Linked DNA regions of Alligator mississippiensis. The protein of the gene in region 2 interacts with the protein of the main gene of each other region in a pairwise test. Links are inferred from orthologs where the notes say so. Each region holds a gene or a part of one and is shown on either strand. Other genes may lie near its edges.

Region 1 (7,654 bases), on a different chromosome or scaffold from region 2:
GGAGGACCCAAGTCGGGTCAAGTGGAGATGCTGGAAGTGGCAAAATAACTGGAGGCAGGGAAAAAAATCGGGCACTTCCCCACCGCCTGAAGCACCGAAGGGGAGACCAAACAAGAAAAAGGGGGAGGGTAATATTTCGGTGGGGGTTGGTGCAGGGTTTGCTTCCCCCCCACCCTCCGAGAAGGGGCAAGGCTGCGAACCCCCGTCAGGGGCCAGGAATGGCGGAGGAGATGGGGCTGGGCAGGTGACTGGACCCCACGGCAGGCCGGGGACCCTCCTCTTCTCCTCGCCCTAAACTCCATGCCTCCCCCCCCGGCCGCCCGGCCGCTTTCTGCCAGCTCAGCAGTCCCCGGGAGCCGGGGCGTCGGCGGCGCTGTGGTAAACAAGTGCTGAGCTGTCAATCACAGACCAGACTGGAGCAGGAGAGGACCGGCCTAAACCGGCGCGAGCAGAGCCCCAACCAGCCGGCGCGCCCGGCGCTCGCAGGCGCACGGCACGGCACAGCACACGCGAGCGCAGGCGCGCAGCCTACCCTGGCGGGCGGGAGGGGCGGCACCCGCCACCTCCCCACGGCTTCTCTCGGGGCTTCCGGGCTGCAGCCCCCCCAGCCCCACAGCACACGGGCCCGATCCTGCCCCCGGCCGTAGGGCAAGGCGAGGAGGATCGGGCCCCCGCTGCCGGGGGAAAGGGGTTCTCGATCCCCAACCCCCCCCCAAACCCGCAGCGGCGCACGCTGGACTCCAGGAACCGGGACCTGCCCCGCCCCCACTGCGCCCCGCGCCAATCAGCGGCGGGCATCGCCTTAGCAACAGGCTAACAAACGGCGCCGGGCCAATGGCGGCGGCGCGGGGCGGGGCTGGGGTACTGAGCTGGTGTGACCGGCGTGGGGCAGAGTAGTGGGCACCCGGGCTGCCCGGTGGCCGCAGCGGCTGTGTGGGGTGCGGCCGCCACCGCCGACCCGCGCACCCACCCACCCACCAACCGGCCCCTTTGTTCGCTCCCTGTCCCGGGGGGCGCCCCGAGTCGCCTCCTGCAGTCATCCCCTGGGCTGTGGAGGGAGGGACACAGGCCCCTTGCCGCCCGGCATCCGCAGAGGGGGTGGGGAGAGGGCACGAACTCTGCCTGGGGAGGGACCCCATCATTTTACCTCAGGCCTCGCAACCCGCTCATTTTGTGAACATTAAAAAAAAAAATAAAAAAAAAAAATCCTTCCATTTATTCCAAAAGCCTTTGCCAGCGCAACCCCCTAAGTTCCCCTTGAATGAGATGGTTTTGTAAGGGGGGAAAGGGGACCCCCCCCCTCAGCTCCCGCACTGGTCTCTGCAGCACTTATTTATATATATGCAGAATAAGTGAAAGGGAACAAGGGGGGGGGGGAAGAAAAAAGAAAATTACATAACCAGTTTTAACATTATTTTCTTGTGCTAGGAATTAAGTCATCGCCACCACCTGACGCGTGTAACCAATCTGCGGAGAGGAGAGCTCGCACCCCCTCCCTCTCGCCAGGACTGGTCCCAAACAGGATTGAACCGCTTCTAACAAAGGGTGGAAACTTCAGAAAAACAAGCCAAGAGTCCCCTATACTTCTACCATGTCACCATTCAAACAATAGATTAGCCATCTGAAGACCCGCTGCCCCCTTGCCAAGGCTTGATTCCCCCTTTTTTCCCCCCCATTATTTGATAGGAATCTATTTTGCACTGTACGTGGCTGGCACAGCAGGTTTCAATGAATGCAGCTTCCCTGAACTCCCCAACTTAGGCATGATGCTCCAGTTGGGCACTTCAGGGACTCAAAGGAGGCTTGCAGGCAGACCTTTATACCTGCCTCTCTGACAGATGTGGCGTATAAAAGACATTCAGGTGATTTATTAACTTACTGGGGGAGGTGGGAGAAGAAGAAGCCACACGTGGAGTGCTGAGAGTGTATGTCAAAATAAGCCACAGGGAATCCTTTATCTGCCAACAATTATCCATCCTTCGAAAGGCCTCGCATAATCGATTTGAAAAATAGGAGTTATATCCATAGACGTCTAAAAGCCTGATTCTGTCTTGCATCTCAACATTTGATGAGAAGTTACAAAAAAGTCACTTAAAAGCATTAACTACCTGGCTTGGCCCCCCAGTTCTCAGTGCAATACGGAACACAACCCTGCTCATGTCTAGCTATAGCACAGTTTTTTTCTGACACACTTAAAATAATCATAAAATTGGAAGTGCCTCTGCAAGAAGCTCTGTTAAAGGCAGGTTGTTGGAGAAAGTCCTGTTTTGCAGGCACTTTGCAGATAAAGTCTGACCCACCATCAATGTCCATATCATCAAAACCTACAGCCCCTAAGAGATGTAGTACATTTTCACATCCTTGTATGTTGTGGTTTTTAATGGATATAATAACCAGCCCCCCTCCAAAGACTGTTCAAGCCAAGAGGATGCGAAGATGTGCATGCCTGCTTGCATCAAAAATGACTGTGTAGGATTTTGACTCCCGAATTAAAATGAAAAAAAAAAAACAACTTACCTCTCTCGTGCCCAATTAAGATGTCCTTATGGTTGAAATATTCTACTTCTTCAGTGTAATTCTGTGTATAGGCAGTGTTGGATCCAGCATTTCTAGATTCAGTCCAGCGCACTTTTGCATGTCCTCTTGCGTGAATTTTAAGAGATTTCACTCGAATTTCCCCAGTAACTTCTAAACTGACCCTTCCTGAGACTGTGTCCCCGCTAGAATAGACGGGGACGTTGCTGTCATTGAGACAGTCAAAGCTTATTGTCAAACTCTTCACCTTCCCCAGCACCATTTTTTTTTTATAACAAAGTCTATAAAAATATACTGTAAGAAAAAAACCCCCAAAATCAAAGTCAAGATCTCATATAAAATGGGATCTTCACTTGACACTGTTCAAAGCCTCTGCCGTGCAAAAAAGCTTGCAGGCAGGACCAGTGTCTGCTCTACAAACGCTTCATTGGGCTTGCTGGAAAAGTCACAGCACTAGTGGCTGTTCAGCTACTACCCAGCTCTGAGGTCTCTGTACAAAGACAGGGAGGCTGCGGACTGCCAGCTCACTTTAAGACCAGCTTTGTGAAAAACAACCCCACTGCGCATGTGCGGGCGGCTGCTGCTTCCCTTCTGTCTCACTGCTACAGGAGGTGTAACACAGAAGGCGACCGTGCTGTGGAAGAGGACCTGGGTCTGCTCTCCATTGTGTGTCTCTTGCAGTGATCGCCCCCCTAAACTCTTTCAAACGTGCCCCTCTAGGCCAGCACCCCAAAGCTTCTAATGGCAGGAATGCAGCATTATAAATGCAGCGGAAGGAGGAAGGAGAGTGGTCTAATGCCAGAGCCCTTACAGCTGACTAAGGACACAGCCTCGAGCCCGAAGCATTTGCTTCTGAATGCTGCTGGAAGAGGCTTGAAGAGTTGGGAGAGAAATGAACTGAGGAATCTGCCTTTTATTCGGGAGAAGAGATTTTGGATGGTTCATCTGCTTCAAGCACAATCTGGTGCATTCCAAAAGGCAAAATATTTGCTCTTCAGAAGTATCTTAATGAGCCAGAAATAGAAGTCGATCTTGGCAGGACTAGTTTATCCCCAGCCAGAGGGTGGGATGAACTTCACCAAAGGCAGAGAAAACCCTCTTTTGTTCGGTTCAAACCGGTTTTGGAGACTGGGAGAATCCACATATTTCAGTTATGTCTGCTGAAGATTTGTGTCAGCTGTTCCTACCAACCTCTGAATTCACCAGGAGAAAGAGTTTCTAAAAGGAGAGGAGCACCTGGCTTCCCATTTATATTTCATTAGCTCAATTACAGACCCCACCTACCATTTTTATTCAGATAGTTAGCATTTTTGTTTTCTGGGTTACCTGTGTTAAAACAGGCAAGCAAGTAAAACCTCCCCAAAACAGCTCGGAATGAATGTATATATTTCACAGATAGTTTTCTCCTTTTTTTCTGATTCCATAAGATTTAGTGCAATTTAGAGGGAGATAGAAGAATACCTTTAAGTACTGCTATTTGGAATCAAGCAAATCCTTTCAAAATAGCCCGCATAAATTCAAAAGAGATGTGCTAAATGGATTCTAAGAGAAAAAAAAAACAACCAGACACTGGAGCATATTAGGCACATAGTCTTTCTAAAAGCTCTGTGCAAAACACCTTCACCACCAAAGAGATGTTCTTTACAGTGATATTTCAAATGCATCTGTTACACAGTTCATCTACATGTTCATTGGTACACGGTCATTGCTTGACCATGCTCTCCAGATTAAACAATTTATGGCTACGTTTCTCTTTCCATGTTTATTAAATTCCACGTTCAGTAAAATAATTATTGCAATAGTTATATAATTTAAACAGTTCATGTTAGAAAGGCTAATATGGGTTGACAGGTATATTAGCTCTACTTAGAGAGGTATGTTTCTAAAGCAAAGTTTAGAAAAGCAGACTCACTTGGTAGCTTTATGACTCTTCTCAGGTCATTCATGTTTTGCCTGAGTCGACACCTGGTGGAAGCTCTCATACATTTTTGCCTGGGCCATCTTCTGTTCTTGCCTTCTGATCTGTTGATACTTTTTTATGTTTTTGCACCACCCTGTGGTAAATATGAGGAACTTACTCTGCAAAAGAGAAACTATCAACCCTTTTTTGATGTTTAGTGTGTTTGCTCTCACCCCACCTACCACCTACATAGGCAGCAAATGCCTTCAGTGGGCATATCTCGCCTCTCCCATGTGGAAAGAAGGAGAAGGAAGAGTGACACTGTTTACAGGGTATTTTGATCTAAAGAGTCTCATTTGTGGGTCTGGCATGTATGTTAGGACAGTTGTTGAAGACCAGCTGGGCCAGGCAAATATTATCCCACCTGGATGCTTCATTCTAGAGAGATCTGACATAAAACTTAATATAGTTTAGCCTGTATTGTCCTTTTTCTGCTGGTGTTCTGGAAGCAGCAATTAACACTACTGCTGCCTCGCCCCGAATTTCCAGACCTGTGGGGAGCCCAGTAGGCTGGATGACATGGCCCTGTGGGCTGGACTTGGATCATAGGTTGGAAGCTGAGGACCACTGTTCTAGGTGGTCCTACCATTTGCCCAGTCATGTCTGCACCTCTCCTGCAGAATATCCCACCCAAACTTTCCACTCTGCCGTTCCCACCTCCTGCCTGCTCATACCCACGCTTGCTTCCATCCAGCCAGTCTCTCACTTATCATACAGATATGTTGCATTTTATAGATGCAACATATCATTTACATTTTTAGTGTTAAGCAGATGACTGCATGCTGTCATTTTGGTCTTTGATTCATTTTATTATGTATAGGAAATAAAGTTCAGACTAGGAGCTTTGCTTGGGACGTTTTGTGGGTGTGTAGATGTATGTACACTTTTTATTATTATTTTTATGGGTTTTTTAATAAGTCATTCATAGTTTTTGTTGGCATAAATTATAATTGTTTCTTGTCTTTGTAATATGCTATTTCTTTTCTGAACTGATCATTCAAATGTTCTATGCCATCTTGTGGTTAATGTGAAGAACTGTCTCTCCTGCCAGCCTTTTGCTCTCTCACCTGTTTTTTAAACCTGCCGTCTATTAATCATACTCTCTTGCCCTTTCCAGACACAGCTTTACAAATCTTTCATCAAATAGCACCTAGAACTGGTTAAAATTCTCTTCTGAGTGTTTTCAATGTGAGACCTCTGGACAACCACCTTCCTTTCCTGACCTTCATCACATATATCTTTGCTTTTAATTTTTTAACACCTGGTTATTAGATGTTAAATCATTACTGTTCATACTAAATAACTTCCTTGTCCCCCATCCCTTACAAAAATAGAAGATCCTAATTTAAGCTGTTTGACACAGGGCAAAATATTCTAAAGCACCTAAAAGTGACTTAGCAGTCTAAGTCCCATTTATTTCAATGAGCCTTAGTATCCTAAACCAGCTAAATACTTTTGAAAAGTTTATCCAGTGTCTTTTCAATGTAAGATTACAAATGTGGGATGACATGCCCATTGAAAAATACTGGGATTTTGTTTTGAAGTCAACATACTACCTCTTAAGATCTGCACTATCATTGTAGTGCATTATCTCACACTAGCCTCGTGGAATTGTGTAACACAGATGAGCATTTTTAAATATAAGGTATTTTCAATTCTTTCTGGCTATGAAAATTAGGATTTAAACTGTGTTAATTGTGTTTAATAGAATCTCCTCTTGAGTTTCAATCTATTTTACTCACTTGAGTTGAGAAAGTTCTGGGGAAGTAGGAAATGCTATGTGATTCTTGATCTATATTTTGTGTAATGACTAGATAATGTAAAATATAAAACCAGTATCAGGAGCAGGGATGGAACACATGATTTCCCCCTTCTCTAATCACTAAACTAAGCAATAATCCCTCATTCATATGCACATGAATTAGTCTCTTTCTGACTCAGTGAATCTTGCATTCTTTTTCTGTACTGTGCACCAGCTTCAAGTGGAGGGTTTGAGAGTGCTTTTCATGCAGAATATTCCACAGCCTGGAGATTATGTCATACTCCAGGGATGTCAGAGGTGTGGATTTGAATTTCTTCCATCAAAAGGGGTACTGAACCTGGGTCTCCCTCTTCCCTTCTCTACTTTTAGGGAAATAGAAGGATGCACTTTAGGCAGAGGAGGAAACTGAGCTTACGTGCTGAAAGGAATCAATCTTAAAATCACCGAATCGTAGTCTTCAACATCTCTAACAGGTGGCCAGCCTTTCAGGGAAAATAATTTCTTACCTAGGTTCCAGAGACTATATTTTGCAGAAGAGCTGATCTTGGTTTATTCACAAATGAGCAATTCAGCAAAGATCAGGGCTCCTGGCTGAAGAGTGAGCTTCTGAGGCAAAGCTGGGCTTTTTATCCCTAATTTTTAGCCAGCTTTAAAAAGCTTAACAAATAAAGACATCATAGATAAAACTATCAGATATGTAAATTTGCTTATTATGCTATTTATTCGATTATGTAATGGTCCAGGAAATAGATCTATCTTAGTTGAAAGTATAAAGCCATTTCTGTAGCAAAACCAGATCTAACCAGTACCAAACCACATGGCTAGCTCAAAGTGTCCCTTTGGTGGCCTACCTAGCATCACTTGTTTCCCCCCTGTGTTCTGGAGCTTTCTCTCCTAAGGGTTTTTTTCACTGATTATCACTTCTTTCACTTATTCCTCTTTTATCTTAACTCTAAAAAGAGAGCTGCAAGCAAATATGATGGCTGTCTCACTTCACTATTAAGCAGCCTATGACCTAGTAAAGTCTACAGGGCTCTTATGCTAGAAGACAGTTTATGTACGTGGATTCTCAGTGGACATAGGGACCTCCCTACTGGCTTGAATGAGAAATTTCTAAAATGATTTAGAAGAGTAGGGGCCAACCTTTTTGGAGGTTTTTCAGCCTTAACAAATTAACCCCATACCTTCGTGAGTGCCACTCCAGTTCCCTTATTTTGTCCAATCGGCTGCTCTAGTTTCTGCTCCCTGCCCTGTGCTCTGTCTACTGTTTTACTTTCTGCTCTGGGCCCTATCTGCTACTCCCTTGTCTGTTCCCTCCCCGATCTGTTGTGTGCTACAGAGAGAGGCTGCCTATGCCACTTGTGGCATGTGGGTCATCCCCACTTCAGAATTGGCTT
Region 2 (7,406 bases):
AGACACCCTTGTATATTGATGATTATGATTAAATTATGTAACACTGTACACCTTCGGCAGTGTATTTCTTGATGATTATGATTAAATTCTGTAACACTGTACACCTTCGGCAGTGTATTTCTTTTTAAATTATGTTTAAAAAACATAGAGGGAAGCTCTGGGCCTCCTGCAGCTCAGGGGCTGCACAACCCGATGGCAGCTTGCGCGGGTAGGCTCTGCTAAGACAAAAGAAAAAAGCAGCAGTAATGAGCCTGATCTTTTTTTTTTTGCTCCCAGAGACTGCCTGCAGTCTTCTGTGGCCAGGGAGTGAGCTGCTGGTGGGCTGTGCAGCCCGAGTTGTGGGGGGACCCTGGTGCTTCTTTCCGTGGTGGCAGCACCCCCCGGGACAACCCAAGTGGGGTGCTAGTACATGGGTGCTGCCTGGGGGGCCCTGCCACCACAGAGGGAAGCACCAGGGCCCACTGCAGCTCAAGGCTCACTGGCCATAGTAGAGGCAAGAAGGCTCCAGAAAAGAAAAAAAAAAGATTGGGCTCCTCACTGCTTTTTTTTTTTTCCTCTAGCGGAGCCTGCCCTCTCTGTGGCAAGGGTGTGTGTGTGTTATGGAGCTGACGGGGCTGTCACTGCTGTCATGGTGACGGAAGTCCCTAAATTGAAACAGTGGGTTTTAATCAACACAAAACCCCACCAATTCAAAACCGGCCATTTCAATTTAGGAAGAACTAAACTCCCAGCACGTGAACAAATGGCCACAGAGATTAAGTGGAAGGAAGGGGTGGGGGTGAACCAACCATGGAACAAGGAAATCAAGAGGAAGGGACCTCAACTAGGATGCACTAGCAGACACACAAAAGGTAAGAGAGAAAAAGATGGCAGGAGGAAGGTGAAGGAAGGGAAAATGGGCAGGTATCCCTGGATCCCCTTCCCAGTCTAGTAATGATGTAGGGGCTCTGTTCTACACAGCAGGTACAATCATCTTTCCATTGCATCCATTAATCTCTCAAAAACCTTTTCATGATATTTTCTTCTAACTCTAAGAAATATATACAATTGTATCTTGTTCATTGCACAGTTCATAGATGGAAAACAAGGAAATAAATGTGTTTATTAGATCTTTAATAAGGAAGTGACCTACTGTGAAGAGAGAGATTGAATTATACAAGGTGCTACATGTATTGTATTAAATCAGTAACCAAAGTGTTAATTGTTTAAATATATTCAACTTTTATTTTGCCTTCCAATCATGGATCACCAATTCTTATACATTAATAAGGCACATAAGCTAGACTACAGTCCACCTGAGATGCTATATTCTTATTTGTTAGAAGAGCTTCATTACAGAAAAAAATATTCACAAACTTATCTTGTTATGACTTGTATAAAGTATGTTTAATTAGAAAAGCTCTCAGAATTGCTGGCTCTCAGTGCTATATTGACTCTCTTACTTCCTGTGACCCCTTGTTTGTGAAAGCTAATTATTTTTTTAAAGAAACACCAGTTTGCACACTGTCATTGTCTGGTACACAAAAGTCTTTTTTCACTAATGAGGGTTAAGTGGCTTAATAAATTTCTTACAGTCAACAGAAAAACTTGTAAAAAAAAATCCTCCTGTCCAGAGAGATTTAGAGAAAATTCTTTTAATAAGTCTGCAATATGGATTCAATTACTATTGTACAGAAAACTCACTACAAACTACAGTGCTAGATACAAGAAAAAATCATAACTAATAGAAATATGTATTTCATTCAACATTGAAGCTTTCCAAGTATACCATTTTAATGTGTTAAAGATACTGTTACAGGGTGGTGTCTTTTGGGTGTTTTAACTGAATAACATAAGTCATGAAATATAACATCATTGTAATAAATCAAGTTATATAAAGGCATCATATTATGCATAAAATACTGATTGCAAAATCATCCCACTGTTTCATGTGTCATTTGCTCTTCATAAAAGAGCATAAACCATTCCTATGAAGTTGTTAAAATGTGGGTCAGTTCAGTTCAAGCCTTAAAAAGCTGTCATAAATCCCACACCTGTCTGACTTTTTCCATCATTGTTACAAAGGACACCTGTTACAAGAACTGAGAGAAGAAAACTAAATGTTTATCTGGTGTGTTTATGGCCCTATCTAGTTATACTCAAGGTGTAATTAACCAAGTAATCAAGCAAGTTGTGAGCTGGCTACATGTTCCACCAATTAATGGCATGATAAAACAGGCAATAAGCTACAAAGTTATTCCACAAAAAATATGGAGTAATATAGATTGTTCTTATGGTGCCATTGTTTAAGGAGAGGGGCAGGTGTTCACAGCACTTCTTATGGAGCAACTGTCACTGTTTATCCTATTTAATCACCTGTTCTGTTTGCCGGCATCTACTGTAGACATGGCAGAAAGAAAATATCCTAAAACGTAGTGGAATGAAAATTGGCAGAGGAACTGAGGGGGAGCGGGAGTAGTTCCTAAAATCTATCAGGTCATCTTTAAGCATAATTAGATGTAGCTTCAAGTGCCTGGTGTCCCTCTGGTGTTATGAAAATACCTTAGGACAATTATGAAATCCATCTAAAATGAAGCACACTGAAACGATCCCTCATACTGCTGGTTATGGGACAAGCTGAAAACACTTGAAGAAGCCGATCTTGATCTCACAGTCTAGTACAAAGATGCGGGGAACAGAAATGGTCACACGTAGATACTCTCCTGGGGTTGGGGCAGTGTTTCCAGGCTGTCCAGGGCCCTGCTTGGCACCAGGCTTCTGAGCTTAAGTCCCCCACACAAAGGGCTGAGCTGCTTCCCGCGCAGGCAGGGGTCTGGGGAGGGAGATGAGCACGTCGGTGCCCACTGCCCAGATGCCACCGCTGTTCTGGCAATCAGGACTTGTGGTAGAGATGCTCTCTTTTATTAGACCAACAAGATTTTTGCAAAATCTTGTTGGTCTAATAAAATGCCCGCTGTTCTGGGCATTTGAGGGAGCCCGTGAGTGCCTGGCGCCTCCTGAATCTGGGGGTGCACCCGCAGATTTTGCAAAAATCTTGTTGGTTTAAGAAGAGAGATCATCTCTACTATAAGTCCTGAGTGCCTTTTCTTCTAGACCAATACGGCTACAACCTGGATACCCGGCACACAAAAGATATCAAATTTTAGCTGATTTCTGAAATGAAATCTTCGTACTTTCCCAAGTAGGAAGCAACTGTGACCGCCTGAAACTGCAGATCCTGCTCTTGCCTTTGTTTCAAGGTAATCTGCATCAGCACAGACCCCGACAGGAGGTGAGGCTCCTTACCAGCTATGAACCGACTGCCCAGACGAGTTTTGCATCTATCGACTCCTCTGTGAAATCCTATGAAATATGAATTTTCAATTCTACCCAGGGGAACTTTATTTTTTCTCCACTGCCTGATGAAGGGTGTCTGGGCCCAAAAGCTGGCCATTAACGAATTTATTTTATTTTTTTTCAAAAATCTTGTTGGTTTCATTAATCAAAGATATCACCTCTGTCCACGAGCCCCGATCGCCTTTTCCTCTACACCAACATGGCTACAACCTGGATGCCCGACCGCTGTTCTGGGCACTTGAGGGAGCCCGTGAGTGCCTGGCGCCTCCTGAATCTGGGGGTGCACCCGCAGAAACCGCCGACGGCAACGGCCCGGGGGGGAGGGGGGGGCACGTGCACCCCCTACCAGTCGCCTATGGAGAAGCCTCTCCCGCCACTCAGACGAGCCCCCATCGCGACCGGCCCGCGGCTGGCTCCACCCCGCCCCGCCCCGCCCCGCCCACCAAACACGTCAGAGGCCGCAGAGACGCAGCGAGGCCCCGTGGGGCTTGGCTGCCCCCTGCGGGCCGCGCTGAGAACATCCCGCTGTCTACGGCCCCTGGCCAGACCCCGCCGCCTACAGCCTTGCCTTCGCTCCAGCCCCGCCCCCGAGTGCGCGGGGTGGGCGTGGTCGCGTGCAAGCGGCGCTGGTCTCTCCTCCTCCGCTCTGAGGCCCCCGGGGTCTAAGCCGGTGCCTGACTCTATTGCCCCGCTCCGAGAAGCCGCCCGGCAGGTGCAGGGCCCCGGGTGGGGGCTCCTCCGGCCGCAGGGGGAAGGTGGTTCTTTTCCGCGGGTCCCCGTGTTTTGGGTCAGGCGCGGCGCGGACGCGAGCGGCGGGGCCTGCGCGGCGGCGGCCGGAGCCGGAAGCGGAAGCGGGCGCGGGGAGGGGCCCGGCCGCGGGGAGCGAGCCGCAGCCGCCTCGGGCTCCGCCATCGTCGTCGCTGTCGTCGTCATGCCGCTGTTCACCCCCAACCCCTTCGAGCAGGATGTGGGTGAGTGCGCGGGGCCGGGGCCTGTCTCCGTGGGCCGGGCCTGAGGGGGGCTGCCAGGGCGGGGAGTGGAGGAGCGGCTCCCTCCTGCCCTGTCACGGCAGCGGCTCCCAGGCCGGGGCGCTCCTTCCCTGCGGCCGCCCTCCTCCAGGCGGGGGCTTGTCGGGATGCCGCGGGAGGCGAGCGCTGCCTCGGATAAACACGGCTCTGAAGTCGGGGCCACGCACGTCCCTGAAGTGGCGGAGGGCGGCGGGTGCTTGGAGGCCAGGGAGGGTTGAGACCCGCTGCTGCCTCCTCTCCCCGTTCCCTCTTGCGCAATACCGGGCGGACTGTAGGTCATCTGTCCTGTCTTGCGGGCGTTTATCCTCTCATCTGTTTTTGTAGTTCAGGTTCCTGCTGTTTGGGAAGACACACAGGTTTTTAATGAGAGGTGTTGCTATCGTCGGGTGTTCTAATGATTGTAACATCTGTTTCCATAGAGCTGCACAGCAGTTAAACGCCGACCTGCAACCGTGTCTGCTGCAAGCAGGTTTTCACACCAATTGCCTTGTTTCTCTCTGTAGCATGTAGTGGGCTGAATTGCCTAAATTGGGGGTGTCAGATAGAGGGGCACTGATATATCGGTCCATATCAGATCGGCATTGATAAAAGGAAAATTGATATTATCAGCAACCGCCTTTTTAGTCGGTGTAGTTGGTGGCATCGCCGATAAATGCCACGTGAGCAGCCAGGAATGCAGCCTGGCAGCTTGGAGACCAGCGCCCAGTGGGTAAGTGTAGGGGGATAGGGTGAGGGGGCAAAACAAGCAGCATCTGGGGGGAAGGGGTGTGGGGGAGAGAACGGGGGTGGGGGGGGAAAGCGAGGCCCCCATGATGAGGGAGGGAGTGGGCAGGCGCAGGGCGTGGGACAGAGCCAAGGGGGGCATGGGGTGGGGGGGGGCAGTTCCCAGCCACTTTGCTCACCCACGGGGGAGGCATGGGAGGGGCATGTACTCTCCGGATTTGTGTGTGGGGTGAGGGCGGGCTGCCTGCTGTGGGCTCGGGGCTGGGAGCTACTGGGAAGAGGCCAGTGCAGCCTCGGGCCCTGAGCACACAGTGGGCAGCCTGCCCTCGCCCCATGCACAGATCTGAAGGGCACGAGCTCCCCATGCCTCCCCCAGGGATGTGCACAGTGGTGGGGAGCTGCCCACCCCTTCTGTGGCCTCTCCCCACCCTCCCACCCCCCCAGATTTGCTGCCCACAGCTCTGTCCTATGCCCCACTCCACCCTAGCTGGTCAGTGCCTGCCCCTGCCCCAGCCCAATTCTTTCCCACATCATGGGGGCCTTGATCTCCCTCCCCCATGCTCTCTTCCTCCCACAGACTTACTGGCTGGACACTGGTCTCCAAGCTGCTGGGGTACGTATTGGCATTCAGAGCAGTATCGGCCAACGTGGCTGGTTAAGAATTGGCTGTTGGTATTGGGCAAAAAAATCTTTATTGGTGCATCCCTAGTGTCAAATGTATAACCTGTGGGCTGGATCTGGCATGAGATCAGCTGTATCTGGGCAGGCCTGCAGGGAGATCCATGCTCTGAATCCAGCTCGGGCCCCAGGTAAGTTTGGCAGTCCTGGCTTAAATTTCTTGCAGAGTCAAAAGAGTCACTCCTAGCTGGTCACAGTTTTGAAGTCTGATCATTTTGATACTGTAAGAGGAAAGTTTTGGGAGTTTAGACCCACATGGACTATATTTAAACCCTGAATACTACAGAAGTTATTGGTATTCAGGTTGTAGCTGTATTGGTCTGGAGGAAAAGGCAGTCGGGACTGGTAGTAGAGGTGATATCTTTTATTAAACCAACAAGATTTTTGCGAAAGAAGTCTTTAATTGCAAGCTTTCAGGCACAAACACTCTTGATCAGGCATTGGAGAAAAGATTGTAAAAGTTCTCCTGGGTAGAAATGAAAGCTCATATTTCATAGGATTTCACAGAGGAGTCAATAGATGGAAAACTCTGGGCAGTCAGTTCACAGGAGTTATTGTACCTTAGAAGTGAAATGTCATTTATTATAGGAAACTAAGCTTTGAGGCTTTTTTCTTTTTAAATTACTACTGCGTATGTTTCTGTCTGAACATCATTTCACTGGCTTATGCATTAGTTCCTGAGCTTGGCGTAGTCTGTGTTTAAAACCTTTCTAGTTGATACGCTACCTTTTTTTAGATGACATGACTCGTAACAAGTGTTATGCTCTTATGCATCTTACTTGCTTAGTCAAACTTTTGGGAGTTGCTTATTTTATAGTCAGCAGATTAAGAAAAAGTTCCATGGCTAGAGTCTAAAATACTTGATATCTTAAGGACTTAAAGCTTTGGTAGCTTTTTTTGTTTGTTTTTTTTGTGGGGTTTTTTTTTTTTTAAACAAGACGTACAGCTAGCTAGCAATCTGATCTGAAAGATACAGGATTTGCTTGGTTTACAAATCTAAATGGATTTAAGTCAGTGTACTTTGTATTTCCTCTCTGGAGGCCTAGGGTGACATCTTGACCAAAATGAAGACAGTAGGACCAGGGTTTCACTCCTTGTAAAACATCAGCTGGAAATTAATTTTATGGCATCAGATTAATCCTTGGCTGACATCTGTCTATTACAAAAATTACCAGGCAGTCTTGACAATGAGGATGGTGTTGACTCTGGGCCTCTGTGTGCTATATTTGCCTGTATAGCCTACGGATCATGCCTTCACTATCCTGAATACTGACCTTGTAGTTTTAAATACCTGTTTTAAATTAATCAGCACTGTACATTTAATTGGAAAATGTTTAACATAAAAACAATTTTTAAGTTGGCAATTTTAACAGAAAGCAGAGTTAAGCATTCTTGGGATTTTTGTCAATCCTAAAATATTATGGGCTGTTCTAACAAAAACATTTGCTTGTGCTTTTACTTAAACTAGCACAGATGTGCAGTGCTTAGATGTTCTTGTGTTTCCTTAACATATCTTCAAATCATACAAAATAAAAACATTCTATTCATTCCTCTTTTTTTGCAAACTACCCTGAGCTATTGATGTTGACACAAGATTGATATGGTGATAGAAACTTGCCAAACCAGCTATAGATGAGTTTG

The links.
Region 1: the proteins of STAM2 (region 2) and ARRDC3 interact in binary tests that used the Homo sapiens proteins (3 or more experiments, as listed by UniProt). The two-hybrid records come from large-scale screens. The link is inferred for Alligator mississippiensis from reciprocal best matches to the Homo sapiens genes STAM2 and ARRDC3.

Annotation. Positions count from the first base shown.
Region 1 is NC_081826.1:242,390,511-242,398,164, reverse strand, and holds the start of ARRDC3 (arrestin domain-containing protein 3), read right to left. Parts: upstream 3,062-7,654; 5' UTR 2,798-3,061; coding exon 2,518-2,797; intron 1-2,517. UniProt on the Homo sapiens protein: Adapter protein that plays a role in regulating cell-surface expression of adrenergic receptors and probably also other G protein-coupled receptors.
Region 2 is NC_081827.1:226,525,101-226,532,506, forward strand, and holds the start of STAM2 (signal transducing adapter molecule 2), read left to right. Parts: upstream 1-4,169; 5' UTR 4,170-4,267; coding exon 4,268-4,307; intron 4,308-7,406.